Tamandua tetradactyla: one gene and its partner. The protein of the gene in region 1 purifies or fractionates together with the protein of each later gene. This does not show direct contact. Links are inferred from orthologs where the notes say so. Each region holds a gene or a part of one and is shown on either strand. Other genes may lie near its edges.

Evidence for each region. Proteins that work in one complex are often made in the same cells at the same time.
Region 2: the proteins of PSME1 (region 1) and PSMA2 purify together in Homo sapiens (affinity purification with mass spectrometry; 6 studies listed by BioGRID and IntAct, with this or other methods). This does not show direct contact. The link is inferred for Tamandua tetradactyla from reciprocal best matches to the Homo sapiens genes PSME1 and PSMA2.

Annotation. Positions count from the first base shown.
Region 1 is NC_135340.1:30,655,837-30,663,806, reverse strand, and holds PSME1 (proteasome activator complex subunit 1), read left to right. Parts: upstream 1-4,967; 5' UTR 4,968-5,218; coding exon 5,219-5,257; intron 5,258-5,960; coding exon 5,961-5,993; intron 5,994-6,093; coding exon 6,094-6,156; intron 6,157-6,269; coding exon 6,270-6,380; intron 6,381-6,469; coding exon 6,470-6,515; intron 6,516-6,647; coding exon 6,648-6,745; intron 6,746-6,999; coding exon 7,000-7,068; intron 7,069-7,153; coding exon 7,154-7,221; intron 7,222-7,338; coding exon 7,339-7,393; exon of another isoform or gene 7,394-7,397; intron 7,398-7,474; coding exon 7,475-7,561; intron 7,562-7,744; coding exon 7,745-7,825; 3' UTR 7,826-7,943; downstream 7,944-7,970. Other genes in the region: FITM1 (fat storage-inducing transmembrane protein 1), read left to right, coding at 738-1,009, 1,398-2,010. UniProt on the Homo sapiens protein: Implicated in immunoproteasome assembly and required for efficient antigen processing. The PA28 activator complex enhances the generation of class I binding peptides by altering the cleavage pattern of the proteasome.
Region 2 is NC_135327.1:79,158,157-79,165,389, forward strand, and holds the start of PSMA2 (proteasome subunit alpha type-2), read left to right. Parts: upstream 1-4,233; 5' UTR 4,234-4,324; coding exon 4,325-4,365; intron 4,366-7,233. Other genes in the region: MRPL32 (large ribosomal subunit protein bL32m), read right to left, coding at 735-989, 2,203-2,384, 3,955-4,084.

The sequences.
Region 1 (7,970 bases):
TTGCACAGCACCACAGATTACAAAGCAGCCCTGGGACCAGACTAGCCCCTTAGAGCCCTTTTAGATCAGTCAGAAGCTGGGCCGGACCATGCCCCCAGGGTTCACAGTGCAGTGAAGTAGGCAGCCCTACTGAGCTGCCTCCCAGGGCCTGAGTTGGAGACAGTGCTGTGTACAACCACCTTGCAGCATCCTGACAGCATTGGGCTCTTGTACGCATAACCCCAGGAGAGGGGGCCAGGACTGCACTGACGATGAGGCAGACAGATTTTTTTCAGTGCCTTCTAAGGTTTGATCATGATCCTTGATGGAAGGGGGATTTGGGCTGACCAAACAGGCAGGCAGAACCAAGTAGGCTGTGGATAAGGATAACCCTGAATGGCAGGCCTGGCCCTGAGAGATGAACTAGAATATGATTGGAGCTGGGAACACAGACCTGTACGTCATGGGGACACCAGGGCTAACGGAAAAGGGCACAGGCGGCTGTCAGGACACAAGCTACCACACCAGAGACCAGGACCCTGCTGACGTGGCAGTCCTCTGCCCCAGCCTCACTTCCCCATTCCCCCATAACTCTGTTCCCTCCCCCCACCCCTCGCCCCTGCCTGTCAGCTGCTAACAGGGCTCTGCCCTGTGTCTGCCACACCTGTCACTGCCTGTCCGTGTCCGGGGGTGGGGGCCCCATCAGCCCCTCCTCAGCTGCCCGGCAGAGCAAGCAGTTAGTGGGGAGGGGAGGGAAGATGGAGCGGGGGCCAGCGGTGGGGGCAGGGCCAGGGCTGGCTGCCGGGACCCGGATCCGGGCACTGCTGGGCTGCCTGCTCAAGGTGTTGCTCTGGCTGGCCTCTGCCTTGCTATACTTTGGAAGTGAACAGGCTGCTCGCCTCCTGGGCAGTCCCTGCTTACGGCGCCTTTACCACGCCTGGCTAGCAGCAGTGGTCATCTTCGGTCCTCTTCTGCAGTTCCATGTCAACCCTCGGACTATCTTCGCCAGCCACGGCAACTTCTTTAACATGTGAGTCAACTCCAGGCTAAGGGAACCGGCTCCCTACACTCTGGGATTCGAGCTCCCTCCCCCAGGCCTCTGTCCTGCCAGCCTAAACACTAAAAATAGGCCAGGAGGTTGAAAAGAAGGTGGGCGGGGGGAGGGAACAGAGTTATGGGGGAATGGGGAAGTGAGGAGCAGGGCTGAAGGGGAAATGCGGATCCAAGAAGGCTAGGTGGTCCTCTAGGGAGATGGCAGCGTTTCAGTGGTCGGGGGTTGTGGAGGGCACGGGAAACAGAACCAGTGATGATGTGACACTGGACGCAGAATTGTGGATAAAGCAGAGATGGGGACACAGACCAGGGTGGGGAGATGCAGCTGGGGGGTCTCAGTGGTCTCCCCTCTTCTCTGCCCACAGAAAGTTTGTGAATTCAGCGTGGGGCTGGACGTGCACCTTTCTGGGGGGATTTGTGTTGCTGGTGGTGTTCCTGGCCACACGGCGTGTGGCGGTGACCGCCAGGCACCTGAGCCGACTGGTGGTGGGGGCAGCCGTGTGGCGGGGGGCCGGCCGGGCCTTCCTGCTCATCGAGGACCTGACGGGTTCCTGCTTCGAGCCTCTACCCCAGGGCCTGCTGCTCCACGAGCTGCCTGACCGCCGCAGCTGCCTGGCAGCCGGCCACCAGTGGCGGGGCTACACGGTCTCCTCCCACACCTTCCTGCTCACCTTCTGCTGCCTGCTCATGGCTGAGGAAGCAGCAGTGTTCGCCAAATACCTATCCCATGGGCTCCCGGCTGGTGCCCCACTGCGCCTTGTCTTCCTGCTCAACGTGCTGCTGCTGGGGCTCTGGAACTTCTTGCTGCTCTGTACCGTCATCTACTTCCACCAGTACACCCACAAGGTCGTGGGTGCCGCCGTGGGCACCTTTGCCTGGTACCTCACCTATGGCAGCTGGTATCATCAGCCCTGGTCCCCAGGGAGCCCAGGCCATGGGCTCTTCCCTCGTTCCCACTCCAGCCATAAGCACAACTGAAAGAAATAAAGGACAGCACGCCTGACTCTGGGTCCTCTCATCATTTGACCGGGGCTTGGGAGGGATGGGAAGGGTAGGACGACGGCCTGGCACCATTGGAATTCTTTAGGCATTCCTTGCTGGCACCATGAATGTTCCTTTTCCTGGGACATCCCTCCCACTGTCAGCCTCCTGACCCTCACAGAGCCATCTGGGGTTGGGATGTCAAGGAATGGTGCTGATAAGGCAGTTAACAGCGTCCTTGAGTGTGGGTATCATTTTGGGCTGAGCAGATGCTCCATCCCAGCCCCATCCCTTCCTGGCCCTGCCCCCCATACACTTACACACACACACACACACACACACACACACACACACACACACACACACACACACACACACACACACACACACACACTGAATCTCTCCTCTGACCTCCTCAGGACCTTGCTTCTCTGGGCACCCCACTCAGGGGCTCTTCCTCAAAGAGAGTCTGGGCGTGTTCATTCATTTAACAAATATTTATTGTGCCGAGCAACATTTCATGCTATGAGTGAGAGAGTTTCTGCTGTAGAGGAGCTTATGGGCTACAAGGAGAGGCAGATGACAAACACAAATAACAGCAAATGCATTGTGCTTCTGGACCAGCCAGACACCTGTCTAAGTTTATACATTCTTTATGTAAATTCACACATTTATTCCTCATCACAACACTTTGAAGTTTAGTAGTGTTCCCATTGTACAGTTGGGAAAACTGAGGCCCAGAGGTTAAGTAACTTATTACAAATTAGTAAATAGCAGAGCCAGGATTATTAGCCCAGAACTATATGGGCGTATTATCTATGTTCTAAACCTGAGGTTAGCAAAATATAGCCTGTTCATGGCCAGCTTTCTTGTGACCTGTGAGCTAAAAATGATTTATATATATATATTTTAATTTTTTAAAGTTAATTTTATTGAGACATAATTTACACACAATAAAATGCATCCATTTTAATTATATAAAGTTCTATGAGTTTACACACACACGTAACCACCACCACACTCAAGATACAGACGATTTCCATCACTTTCAGGAGTTCCTTCAGCAGTCACTCATTTTTCCTCTGATATTCTAGTAGTTGAATAAATTGAATATAAATTATTTACCCATTCTCGAATAAATATTTGGATTGTTTCCAAATTGGGCTTTTACAAATATTCTATGAACATTCAAATGAATGCTCCTAGAGATGCCTGGCGTATAACTAAGAATGGATTTATAAGATTTCTAGGACACACACCTTCTACTTCACTAGAAAATATCAAGTTGTTTTCCAAAGTGATTGTACCATTATGTATGTTAAATACACAGCGCAGGAGTTTTAGCTGGTCTACATTCTTGCCGACAGTCAATACTTTAATTTGGGCTAACCTGAGCGTAAGAATATTTTATTTCAATTTAAATATGTCTATCCATATGCATATGCAAGTGAGTATCTTTAATGTAGCTGCTGACCATTATAACTTTCTTTTTTGAAGTGCCTATTTTGCCATTTTTTCTATTTGGTTGCTTGTCTTTTTTTCATCGATTTGCTTTATACTCTGGATAATAATCCTATGTCTGAATAATAACTCTTCGTCAAGAATATTTGTTGCAGATAGATGGTCCCCGTTTTTGCTTAGTAATTTCATTTTTTATGATGTCATGATAAGCAGAAGTTAGTAATTTGAATATGGCTAGATTTATTAAATTTTTATCATTTGTATTTTTGCATTTTAAAAACTCATTGCCTTCCCAGTGCCTGCTCATGTTAAAAAAAAACCATTGCCTTCAAGTTCAAAAAGGAATCTCCATTCAGTTTGACAGGATTTATATTTTTTAATGGTTGGAAAAAATCAGAAGATTTCATGACATGAAAATTATATGAAATTCAAATTTCAGTGCTCAAAAATTAAAGTTCTACAGGAAACCAGTCATGCTATACGAATATTTAGGTATCGTTTATGACTGCTTTCCTGCTATGACAGCAGAGTTGACTAGTTGCAGGGACTGTATGTACTCACAAAGCCTAAAATATTTACTATCTGGCTCTTTACAGAATAAGTTTGCCAACTTCTGGTCTAAATCATTACAATATTCTGTTTCAAAAAATAAACTAGGTAATATCGGAGAGTTAAGTGCTGTGAAGAACTAAATCAGGCTGCTGTGTATTTAGAGTTGGAGGGAGGTACTTTAGAAAGGACGACTGAGAGTTCTCTCTAAGAGGTGACATTTGAGCCGAGAGCCCAGCGGCATCCCTAGCCAGGGAAAGGTTGTTTCAGGCAAAGGGATTAACAGAGGTAAAGGTCCTGAGGCAGGGATGAACATGACCCGTTTGAAAAGTGAGCAGAAAGGTCAAGTGTTTGCAAGTGTAATGAAGGAGGGGGAAACAGTGGGAAATGAAGCTTGAATGGGAGGACAGGTGCCAGGCAGGCCGGGCAGGGCCTTATGGATCAGGCAAGCCCTTTTGATTTCATTTTAAGGTCAACAGGAAGCTGTGAAAGAGTTTGAAGCCAGAGGAAGGCATGGTCCCTCTATTTTGTGGAGAGTGAGTTATAGAAGAATGGAGGCTGCAACAACAGTCCAGGAGAGTCCAGGGAGCTTGGATCAGGGTGGTGCCAGCGTCTGCATGTCTCTCACCGGCTAGAGGATGCCCACGCTGGCGGGACGAGCTCCCCCTCTGAGCCGCAGGTAAAGCTTATCACTGTGCCAGGCCGAGCAGGGGAGGAGAGCCGGTGAGGAGTGGGGAACCAGGAGCTGAGAAGTTAGGACGGCAGGGAGTCAAGAAGGTGGGGCGAGGTGGGGAGCCTAGGGCGGCGAGGAGGCGGGGATGCCAGGCCGAGAGGCGAGGAAGCAGGGAGGGCGGAGAGGCCGGGAGGCGGGAAGCGGGGCGTCGAGAGGCGGGGGATAGGGGGGCAAGAGGGCGGAGACAGGAGGCCGGCGGTCGAGAGGAGGGAGGGAGGTGGGAGACCGGCTGGGCGGGGGAGGTCGCTGGAAAGGCTCCTTTTGGGCTCTAGGGGGAGCCCCGCCTCGCTGCCTTCCTCCGCCCCTCCACCCCTCTCCTATCCCCGGCCTGTCCCGCCTCCTCCAGTACCTACACTCCCCGCTACCCAGGAAGGCCGGGCGGGTGGCGAGGGCTGCTTTCGCTTTTCCTTCTCCGTGCCCACTCCTCGCTCCTCGTGCGGCGCAAGGCGGCCCGCCGCGACCATGGCCACGCTCAGGGTCCAGCCTGAAGCCCAAGCCAAGGTGAGCGCTGCGGGTTCCAGCAAGGGCCCATTAGGGAGGCGTGGTGCGGAGAGGCTCCCTGATCTGCCCTCCCCCTCCAGCCCCGGACATGAAGAGGGGGGTCAGTCCACCAAGGCCACCTGTCTGGAGCACCTGAGCTCACGTGGAAACCGGAGAGGCTGCCTGCCGAGAGGCGAGGGGGCCGTGGTTCAGTGGGGTGAGGTGAAGCAGAGAGCTGGCGTGCAGGGGAAGTCCGCTGGCCTGGGGCCCTGGGCCACACACAGACAGGGTGTGGGGCCAGCAGTGCCACCTGATGGTCTTTCTCACAGAGGGCCCGGGACCCCCTCCATCCCTTCCCCAATCGCAGGGGGTTCTGTCCTACAAGTCCTCTGAACATGGCCTAACAACCCAGGGGATCTGCTCCCACATCAGCAACTCACCCTTCACCACCAGGAACGTTCTCAACTTCCAAATCCAGCCGCAGGGGAATCTACTTCTCTCTCTGGGGATCTACACTACTTTCCCCAAATCTAGACCCACAGAGATCCACTCCTGTACCACCCGGATCAAACCCCACAGAGATCCATCTCACTTTCTTCAAGTCTGGCCTTAGAGGGATTCACTCCACCCCTTCCCAGGTCCAGGCCCTACATAACCCTAAAGGAACTGTCCTCAAATACTGGCCTTCAAGTCAGGTTTCTGAGGGGTTGCCTGTGCTCCGCAGGTGGATGTGTTCCGTGAAGACCTGTGTACCAAGGTGAGACCTGCCCATCAGCCCTCCCTTGCCAGCCCTGCTCCACTGCTTAGGAAGGACATTGATTTTGACCCCATCCCCCCCCACCCCCACCTGCACACAGGCAGAAAACCTGCTTGGGAGCTATTTCCCCAAGAAGATTTCTGAGTTGGATGCATTTTTAAAGGTACTATGGCCAGGCATGGGGATAGAGAGTAGGGGCCAAGGGAAGAATTTGGGGGACTAGGAAAGTAAGGAGAGGACCCCCTTACCTTCAGCCCTTCTCCCACCCTGCACCAGGAGCCAGCTCTCAATGAAGCCAACCTGAGCAATCTAAAGGCTCCGTTGGACATCCCAGTGCCTGATCCAGTCAAGGAGAAAGAGAAAGAGGAACGGAAAAAACAGCAAGAGGCAAGCTCAGGAAAGCTGGGGGAGGGACCCACCCTAGAGGGAAATCATCCTTAAGCCTGACTTCCATAAGCCCTTCTCTCTCTCTGCAGAAGGAAGACAAAGAAGAAAAGAAGAAAGGGGAAGATGAAGACAAAGGTACCTGAAACCAGTCCAGTGGAAAGGATCTTAATTCCCACCCCCCAGGAGCTCCTCCCTAAGAGTTCCTCTTCCCTTCCCCACCCCTCACTCAGGCCTGATCATGTGACTGACTCATTGCCCATTCCCCAGGTCCTCCCTGTGGCCCAGTGAGCTGTAATGAGAAGATCGTGGTCCTCCTGCAGCGCCTGAAGCCTGAGATCAAGGATGTCATTGAACAGCTCAACCTCGTGAGCCCTCCCACGTCTACCCCCAGGCTGCAGATGGAACCCTTTGTCCTCCTTGGTCCCCGCCAGTTAGGGCACGTGGCACCTGCCAGGTCTTAGTAGGAGTGGGCACAGCAAGTGAAGCCAGAGCAGGCCCTGAGGCCCAGGATGGACTGGCTCACCCTCACCCACTGTGGGCAGGAAAGCAGGAGCGTGCAGGAGCCTGGGAATTGGGTGGGACAGGCTGTTATGAGTTTGACACAATTCCTTCCTCCCAGGTCACCACCTGGTTGCAGCTGCAGATACCTCGGATTGAGGACGGGAACAACTTTGGAGTGGCTGTCCAGGTGTGAGGGCTCCCCCACTCCCTGGTCCTCCTGTTCCCTCCGGTCCTTGCTTCCTTCTACTTTCCCCAATGCTTTCTTTCCCCAGGAGAAAGTGTTTGAGCTGATGACCACCCTTCACACCAAGCTGGAAGGCTTCCACACCCAAATCTCCAAGTGAGTGACCACCCACTCATACCCACACCCACAGGCACCCTCTGCCTTTGGTCTGGGTACAGAGGCCTGGGCTCATACTGCCTTCTCCCTCTCCTCACACCTCTCCCACTTCCACAGGTACTTCTTGGAGCGTGGTGATGCCGTGACCAAGGCAGCCAAGCAGCCCCATGTGGTAGGTGAGGCCCAGGCCAAGGTGCATGGAGGGAAGGACACACTGGAATGAAGTCAGGCCCTACCCTCAATTCTCCCTCAGGGGGATTATCGGCAGCTGGTGCACGAGTTGGATGAGGCAGAGTACCGGGACATCCGGCTCATGGTCATGGAGATCCGCAATGCTTATGTGAGGAGGGCAGGGCAGGGCCGGGCAGGGATGGGCAGAGACAGCTTTCCCAGGCTACCTATACCCTGACCGTGCAGGCTGTGGGTGAAGGGTACAAAGCTAAGCCTCTTCACAAGGCTGGAAATGAGGCACAGAGCTTCTGGGGGCCTCTGGCTGATACCCACTCCTCCCCTGGTCCTGTAGGCCGTGCTATATGACATCATCCTAAAGAACTTCGAGAAGCTCAAGAAGCCCAGAGGAGAAACAAAGGGAATGATCTACTGAGAGCCTCCTGCCTTTTACCAGGGACTCCAGACTTTCCCCCCACCTCATCCTGTTGAGGTTTCTCTCTCCTTTGCCTCCCAGGGAAAATAAATATAGTCATACCGGTCGCTGCCCATCAGCCCAAGTCTCTTTATTGGTTCCTGGT
Region 2 (7,233 bases), on another chromosome or scaffold:
CACGTAGCAATTTTAAGACTTGCCATAGTGGAAAATATCTGTAGAGGATTGCCTTAAGAATATGCAGATAGTCAATTCCTCTGGAAACACAGTTTTATGCTTAGATTGAGCCAAACCTGAAAAGAGTTACTTATAGGACTCCAATACTTTAGAAGTTTAAAGATTTGCTTTTTCTGAATTGCATTCAATGTATCAGTGGTCTACATTGTACCTTATGGTAAATTAATTTCTAATATTCTAAGTAATTTAACATAACACCTTGAAGATAAAGTGTTTTCCTCAAGAGGAATTCCCTGAAACAGAATAAAACTTTTCCACAATTATAACAGTTATAACTATCATCTTAAAAAAAATCAAGAATTCAAATTATTTCCAAGTATTATTTAAATGAAAGTATTTATGTAAATATTTTTGTGTAAGAGAAAACGCTGGTAAATGAACAAAATCTGAGCCAAAATGAACAATTCTTGCTATGAATTTTAAAGTTATTTTATTTTTCTGTTGGAAGTTCTGTTTTATTTAAAACCTTATAGTATACTGACCTCTATACCAACATTTTCAAAGTTTATCCATGATATAGTTTTCAAATTATTCCACATAAAGCTGTTTATAAATAACATTTTCATCTATACTGATGATTTTAAAACAGTAACCACAACAACACAAAAACAACGAATCTTCCTCTCTTTAGCAGAAATGTACTGTGGAGTCATCTTGTTTAAACGTCTGCGGTATCAATTCTGGGTGAACCAGGATGGTCTCTTCCTCTCTCGTTCAATGATCCTCTTGCCCTGATCTTGTTCAGCTGGTGTCTCTCCTGTATACAGCACCACAGTCTCCACATTAGGAGCCTTAAAAGGGCCCCCTTCTTGTTTCCATATCTGTCTTCTGATTTCTACAGTCTCCTTGCGCACCTTAGCATAGCAATAGCCACAAAGGACATGCTTCTGTTTCAGGTGGCCACATTCAGGACAAATGTCTATATTATTCTTTAAAAAAACAAAGAAACATATTTCAACAAGAAACATAATGTCCCCCAAAAATCACTGACAGGAATTGTGCTTACATTTTAACTTTCTTAAAATGTTCATACTGCATGAGGTTATATACGATCTAGTTAAATCTCACCTTCAGAGAGAAACTAAGGGCAAGCAACACTGAGTTTGAGTTAAAAAAAAAAGAAAAACCAGGGCCAGAACTCCCATCTACTGACTTTGAATCTGGTCTCATTTCTAAAATCTTAAATTCTCTCAACCAAATTGTATGAATTATTATAAGACTAAGTAATGAAATGTTTTACAGTTTCAGAGTTTAAGTCCAGACCCAAGTGCAATTCAGTAATGCTTACTGGCTCAAGTTCTAAGGGTCTGGTTTAATATGGAATGTGTAAGCTTATGAAGTCAACTTTGTTCTCGAGGTTCATTTGTATAGTGCTGCTGTTATGTAATGCCATAAGATAAATGGTCATTGAAAGCACAACTGTTAAAGCCATGAATTAATGGATCAGAGGTTTTCTGTCAGTAAAGAGCGCATCCATGTGTGGGAAAATCTTCAATTAACTGAGGCTTGAGAATCAGAATGCCAGGGCTCATATCTTGTCTCTACGATTTAATAGCTATGTGACGACAGGCATTCTTTTTGTCTCAGTTTCTTCATGAAGAAAATAGTATTTACTCTGAGGGTTATTGTAAGGATTTGATGAGATAGAGCACATAAAAGCACTTAGATGCATTGTAGGATTTTAATACATGTTAGCTATTTTTATTATTCATTTGACGATTTTCTTTCATAGCATTTTACTGGACACAAAATAAATATGTAAGGGCTAGTAATATCTAAGAGCCAAAAGACCTATAGCTTCTGACTTTAATTTTAAGCTCTACCATAGTTAGGGTGCTTATCCAAAGTGGCTCAAAATTACACAGCTTAGGACTGGCGCAGCTCACAATTCATAAGTCATATAAGCTCTTCACAACCATAAGTATTCTGTCCAATCCCCAAACTACCTCCTTGGCAGTGTTCTTAATGTTTAGGCTAAAGGACAGTATACCTATATGTGAAAATATTGAATTTCATTTCAGCTAAAGGAAAGCAGACATATAAAATCTGAGAATAAGTTATCCATAAGCTACGTGACTATACCATTAGGATGTTAAATGACAGACCTGAGGAAAAGGTACACCCATAAAATCAACACATTACCTTAATTTTAATAAGCTTCCGAGGATTTCTTCTCCTACACCGGTTAACTTCAATAGTGCGTCTGTTTTTGGGAGCTGCCATCCAAAAGATACTATCCAAAAAGCTGGAAATCTCCTTACTTCCACTGGTATCATTTACAGATTCTGCAAACATGGCTGGACCCTGAACTGCTAATGCTGGTCCTATAAAATAAAACATGGAGACAAAGAATGAGTTTCTAGCTTTTAAATGACTATTTATAGATATAATTCTCTTTAATCAACAGTGATCATGCAATAGATATATAAACATGAACACATATGCAGATACACACACGGGTGGCAGAGAGAATTTAACATCTGTTAGTTAAATTCAATAAAGACATTTAACAGGAAAGTGTAGCTATTCAAATATACTAAAGCTCATACAAGAGGCCATAAGGAATTTTAAAAAGCACAAGAATAATTTTTTCTCAGCATTCTGCTGAAATTCTACCAAGAGTTTGTAATTGTCTGAAACGCAAAACTCAGGGGTTTAGTAGCAAACACGAATTAAAGTCTGAAAGGTACCTGCCTTAAACAAAATCACCAATTGACCAAACAAAAAAATCACTACATCGTTCACATATTATTTGTTGGACAGTCCATAATTACTTTACAAACAAATAATATATCAAAAGACTGAGGTTTCCAAAATACACTTCTGAGCTGCAGAGATAACCACCTATTTGCTCTTTTTGTTTTTCACTATATTCAAGTGGAGTCAAGTTCCTCTGTCACATAATCTGTTTATGCCCCTCAAAAAAATCACTGAAATCTACATAATATTTAACTTTGATTTTCCTCTTTTCTCTAAGGTCAAGTGCTAGTTCATTACCACTTAGTCTGACAGTCATTAATTTATTTGTGATATCAAAGTTTCACATTTGCTTTTCTAAACTGTTTTTAAAGACGAAACGATTTTTTCACTATTACCTTGCCATTCCTCAGACTTGAATGCTTCTCACTTCAGCGACTCATAAAAAAACAACAACACCAAGCTCTCTAACAGTTAATAACTGAAACTACTTTTCAATACATCTGTACTGAAACGCATAGCCTAGGAGCAAAGAGCTCTGGCTCTGGCCAGCCTGGTTTTGGATCCTCCATCTGTATGATGCTGGGGATTCTCTGAGCCTACTTCTTCAGTTGTAAAGTGGAACATCTAATGGGATTGTTGTGTGGAAATAGATGTAGAAGTCTTACTTTGCACAATACATGGTATATACCGGGGCTCTCTGTTCAGAATGCCTGTGTATTATCACTTTCGGGGCATACTGAGGCATACCCCAAACGTGCGGTACTTTACAAATCGAGTAAATGTAAACGTCAAAGCTATGCCAGTTATAACAGTAAAGACACAAAATTAATTCCCAGGCGAAACAGAGAAATCAGGCTTGGTCTTCTCGGAGCTCAAATTCTGTGGACAAAATGCATTCCGAGGGCTGGAAAGGGAAAGTAAAATCGATCCAGATAGTGGCGGGCCTTAATGCCCAAACTAAAATCCAAACTAAAACACTTGGATTATAATCTGTGCAGGAATGGGACAAGCAGGGGGCATGGGGCCGGGGGAAAACAGCTGTCTGTTGTTCCTAAGCGAAAGTCACGAACAATATTCTCTAGGAGCGGCTGGGTATCAGAACCCAGGCAAGCACGCAGGCTCTTAAACATGTCTACAGCACTGCCTAGGGTCCCCTCATCCAACCCCTTCACCACGGCGGTCCTCTTCACCTACCACACGGAGGACTGGGAAAACCTGGTCGGCTCTGCAGAAGTTTCCGCTGCAGCCGCTCCCAACAGTTCCGGAGCAGTCTCCCCGCTCCCGGCCACGGGGAAAGGACCAGCAGAAGCATGCTCGACGCCATCTTCCCAGTCAGAAGACGACGCCCACCGGCTGCTGAGTCCCGCCGTCACCTGGGGCATGCGTACAGACGCAACGCCGTGGCGAACCCTCCTCCTGGAACTACAATGCCCAGATGTCCCCGCAGCGGCTGTGACTCTCCTCCAATCAGAGAGAGAGTAGGAAATAGGGGTGGGAGGGGAAGTGAGAGGAAGCCGGGTACGGGACGCATGCGTGCGAATGTGCCTTGGCTCTCCGGGCAAAGATGGCGGAACGAGGTTACAGTTTTTCGCTGACTACATTCAGGTATGGGAGAGTTCCCCAGGTCCTCCGCGTTGCGGAGATTGGAGGCGCTCCGTCAGCCGGGTTCTTTGCGTCCTGGCCTCTGACCTGGTGCTTCCGGAGGGTCCGGTATAGAATAGGGGAAGGAATGCGGCGTTGCAAAGTCATTTGCCGGACCACGGTACTGGGGAGTGGGTACTGGGGAGCAGCAGTCCCAGGAGGCCACGCGGCTTGTGGGATTTGGGGTAAACTTGGGGCTCATGGAAGATGAGGACTCCAGCCAGAGATTCGTTTACGTTTTGGCGCCCAGATAGGAAGGCAGTTTTGGATAAGTCATCTCTGGGTAACCCTTTCAGAACTCTGTATTTGCTTCCTGGCCCATTCGGGCCTGATTCGGGAGCGTCCGAAACTCGGACTCTTGGTCCAGTGTGTGGAGTCCCTTTTCCTCGGAAAGCCTCCGTTTTCTGGAGTTTTAGTCTCCAGTTGGCCATAGTGACTTTAGAAACCTCCCGCTTTCGGTTTCTGTGCCTCTGTTAGAAGAATAAAGAAAAAATGAAAGCGTTACTCATTCTGTCACTTGGTGCTTGTGGACCTAGTACTTCTCGCTGAAGTACCAGGCTATTTGCGTTTTAGCTATTTTTTTGAGGATGGCATATTAACTTTAAAAAAGATTATAGACTTTTCAGTTGTCGAACAAGAGGTTAAAAATAATATTTTTGAAAATACAGTTGAAATAATCATCGTTCCCAATGTAAGAAACCATCACCGAAGGATTTAGTAAGTCGATAAGGGAAAGGTTCTAATTTGGCTGTTTTCTTAAGGAGCACCAATGCTCTACCTAAATATAGTCCTGTTTAATGACTAAAGCAGATTGGCTGTAAGTTTTGTTGAGTACGTTCTTGCGTGGGTACAGCTTAACGTCCTACTTCTCTTTCCACAACCATGTATGATAAATGTCCTGCTAACACTTTACAGATGAGGAAACCAGAGCTCAGAAATTAAGTGATTTGTTCAAGATCATCAATGAGTAGCCGAATTGGCATTCAAACTGGTTCTCTATGAAGGCAAAAGTAATGCACTTTCTATTACGTTGTTGTCTTAAAATCCTAAAATACTTTCCTTCTGACAGTTTTCGATAAGGGAGGATATGTACTAGATTTTTTTTTTAACCTTTGAATGAAATTAATTTAATTCTGCAATGAAAGGGACAATATGTGCCAGGTAGTCATTTCATATTAGTGAGCAAAGCAAATGATCCTTTATCTCTAAGGAAGTGTAATCCTGGTGTAATTGAAACAAAACAATATATGTCATGAGCGACTGAAACTTTTTTAATGTTTCTTTATCAAAATAATTTTCTTTTTCTGAAAGGAGTTCATCTTTTATTTTTTTAACATGGTGAGTTCATCTCTCTTTTAGCTAAAAAAGAAAACATTTGTCTCCAGTCTGTTTTAATCAGGATTAAACAATTCACAGTAGAAGTGACTAGAGACTACATAAAGAAGTGTTACTGTGAACTACATTCAGTTGAGGAGGTTGATAATAAATGAGTAAAACAAATTGGCTCCTGGTAATGAATTCTGAAAAAATGCTTTTCTTTCCCTAGTTTTATAAAGTTTAAGAGGGTGGAAAGATTGGGCAGTCAGGAAAGGCCTATGTTTAGAGGTAATTTTGAGACTAGAATATGAAAAGGAGCCAGCCATTTGAGATTTAGGAGTAAGAAGAATTGTGGACAGAGAGAACAGCTTGTTTGTGAAAGCCCTAAAGGTGGAAAAGAGCTTATGGTCTTAAAGGAGTTGAAATAAGCTGGAGTATAGTGAGCAAGGATATATGTGGCTAAGGGCCAAATGATGCAGGGCTTTGTAGGCTAGAGTAAGGAGTTTTTATTTTGTTTTAAATGAACCAAGAAGTTATTACCAAATTTATGGAGGAGTGTGACATGGTGCAAAAATAGGAAAAGTAGTTAATAGGCTATTTCAGTTTCCCTGGTCTTTTGGAATAAGGGTAATGGGAGGACAGAATACAATGATGTCTTGGATTGATTGCTCAGTGATGGGTAGACCAGCTTGGGCAGGCACACAGGAAATAAAAATGATAAAAGTATGTATAGGTGGCTCTGGGAATATAGAAAAGAGAGCTGTTAAGTTTACCTGAATCTGTATATTCCACAGAGTTATTTCAGCTAGGTATTGAACAATAATTGAAAACTGGATTGACCCAGAAAGTCATAATATAATTATTGAAATAGTGACCATTAAAGCACAAGTACAGCTTAATTTTAAAAATTTAAGTGTCTACTGATGTTATTCTGCTTAAGTCAGCTAATTTTGTAATTTAAGTCTTTGTAAATCTGTCACCCTTAGGTTTATTCTTTAAATAGGTGTAGATGTGTCTCTATTAACCGAGTGATTGTGGACTCCTCAAACTAGGTTATTGCTAGACTACTGACTGAGTAGAGTTTATGCTCTGTTGAGGAGGAAAAATATTGTAAAAACAATTCAGATATGATGAATCTTAGCCAAAGAGGAAGTACAGGACACATAGCATAAATGTATGGGTATTTAACCTAATCTGAGGGGTCAGAGCTGGCTTCTTCCCTGAGGATGTGACATTTCTGCTGAGGAAGGATAGCAAGGAAGGAGTTAACCAGGCCATAGAGTGGAAAGCATTCCGGAGGAATTAGTTTGTAAAATGGGCGTTTGAGGTGTAAGAGTAGGTTCTCTGTCAGGTTCAAGATGGTATACTTCTTCTAACTCAACAAATAAATTGAAATAAAGTATGACCTGTAAGGCCAGTTTGGGACTAGAATTAGACCACCAAACCTATGGAACCAGACTTAATTATAGCTACTTCATGGCATCTAGAAGTAGTTTTATTGTATAGAAAATAATT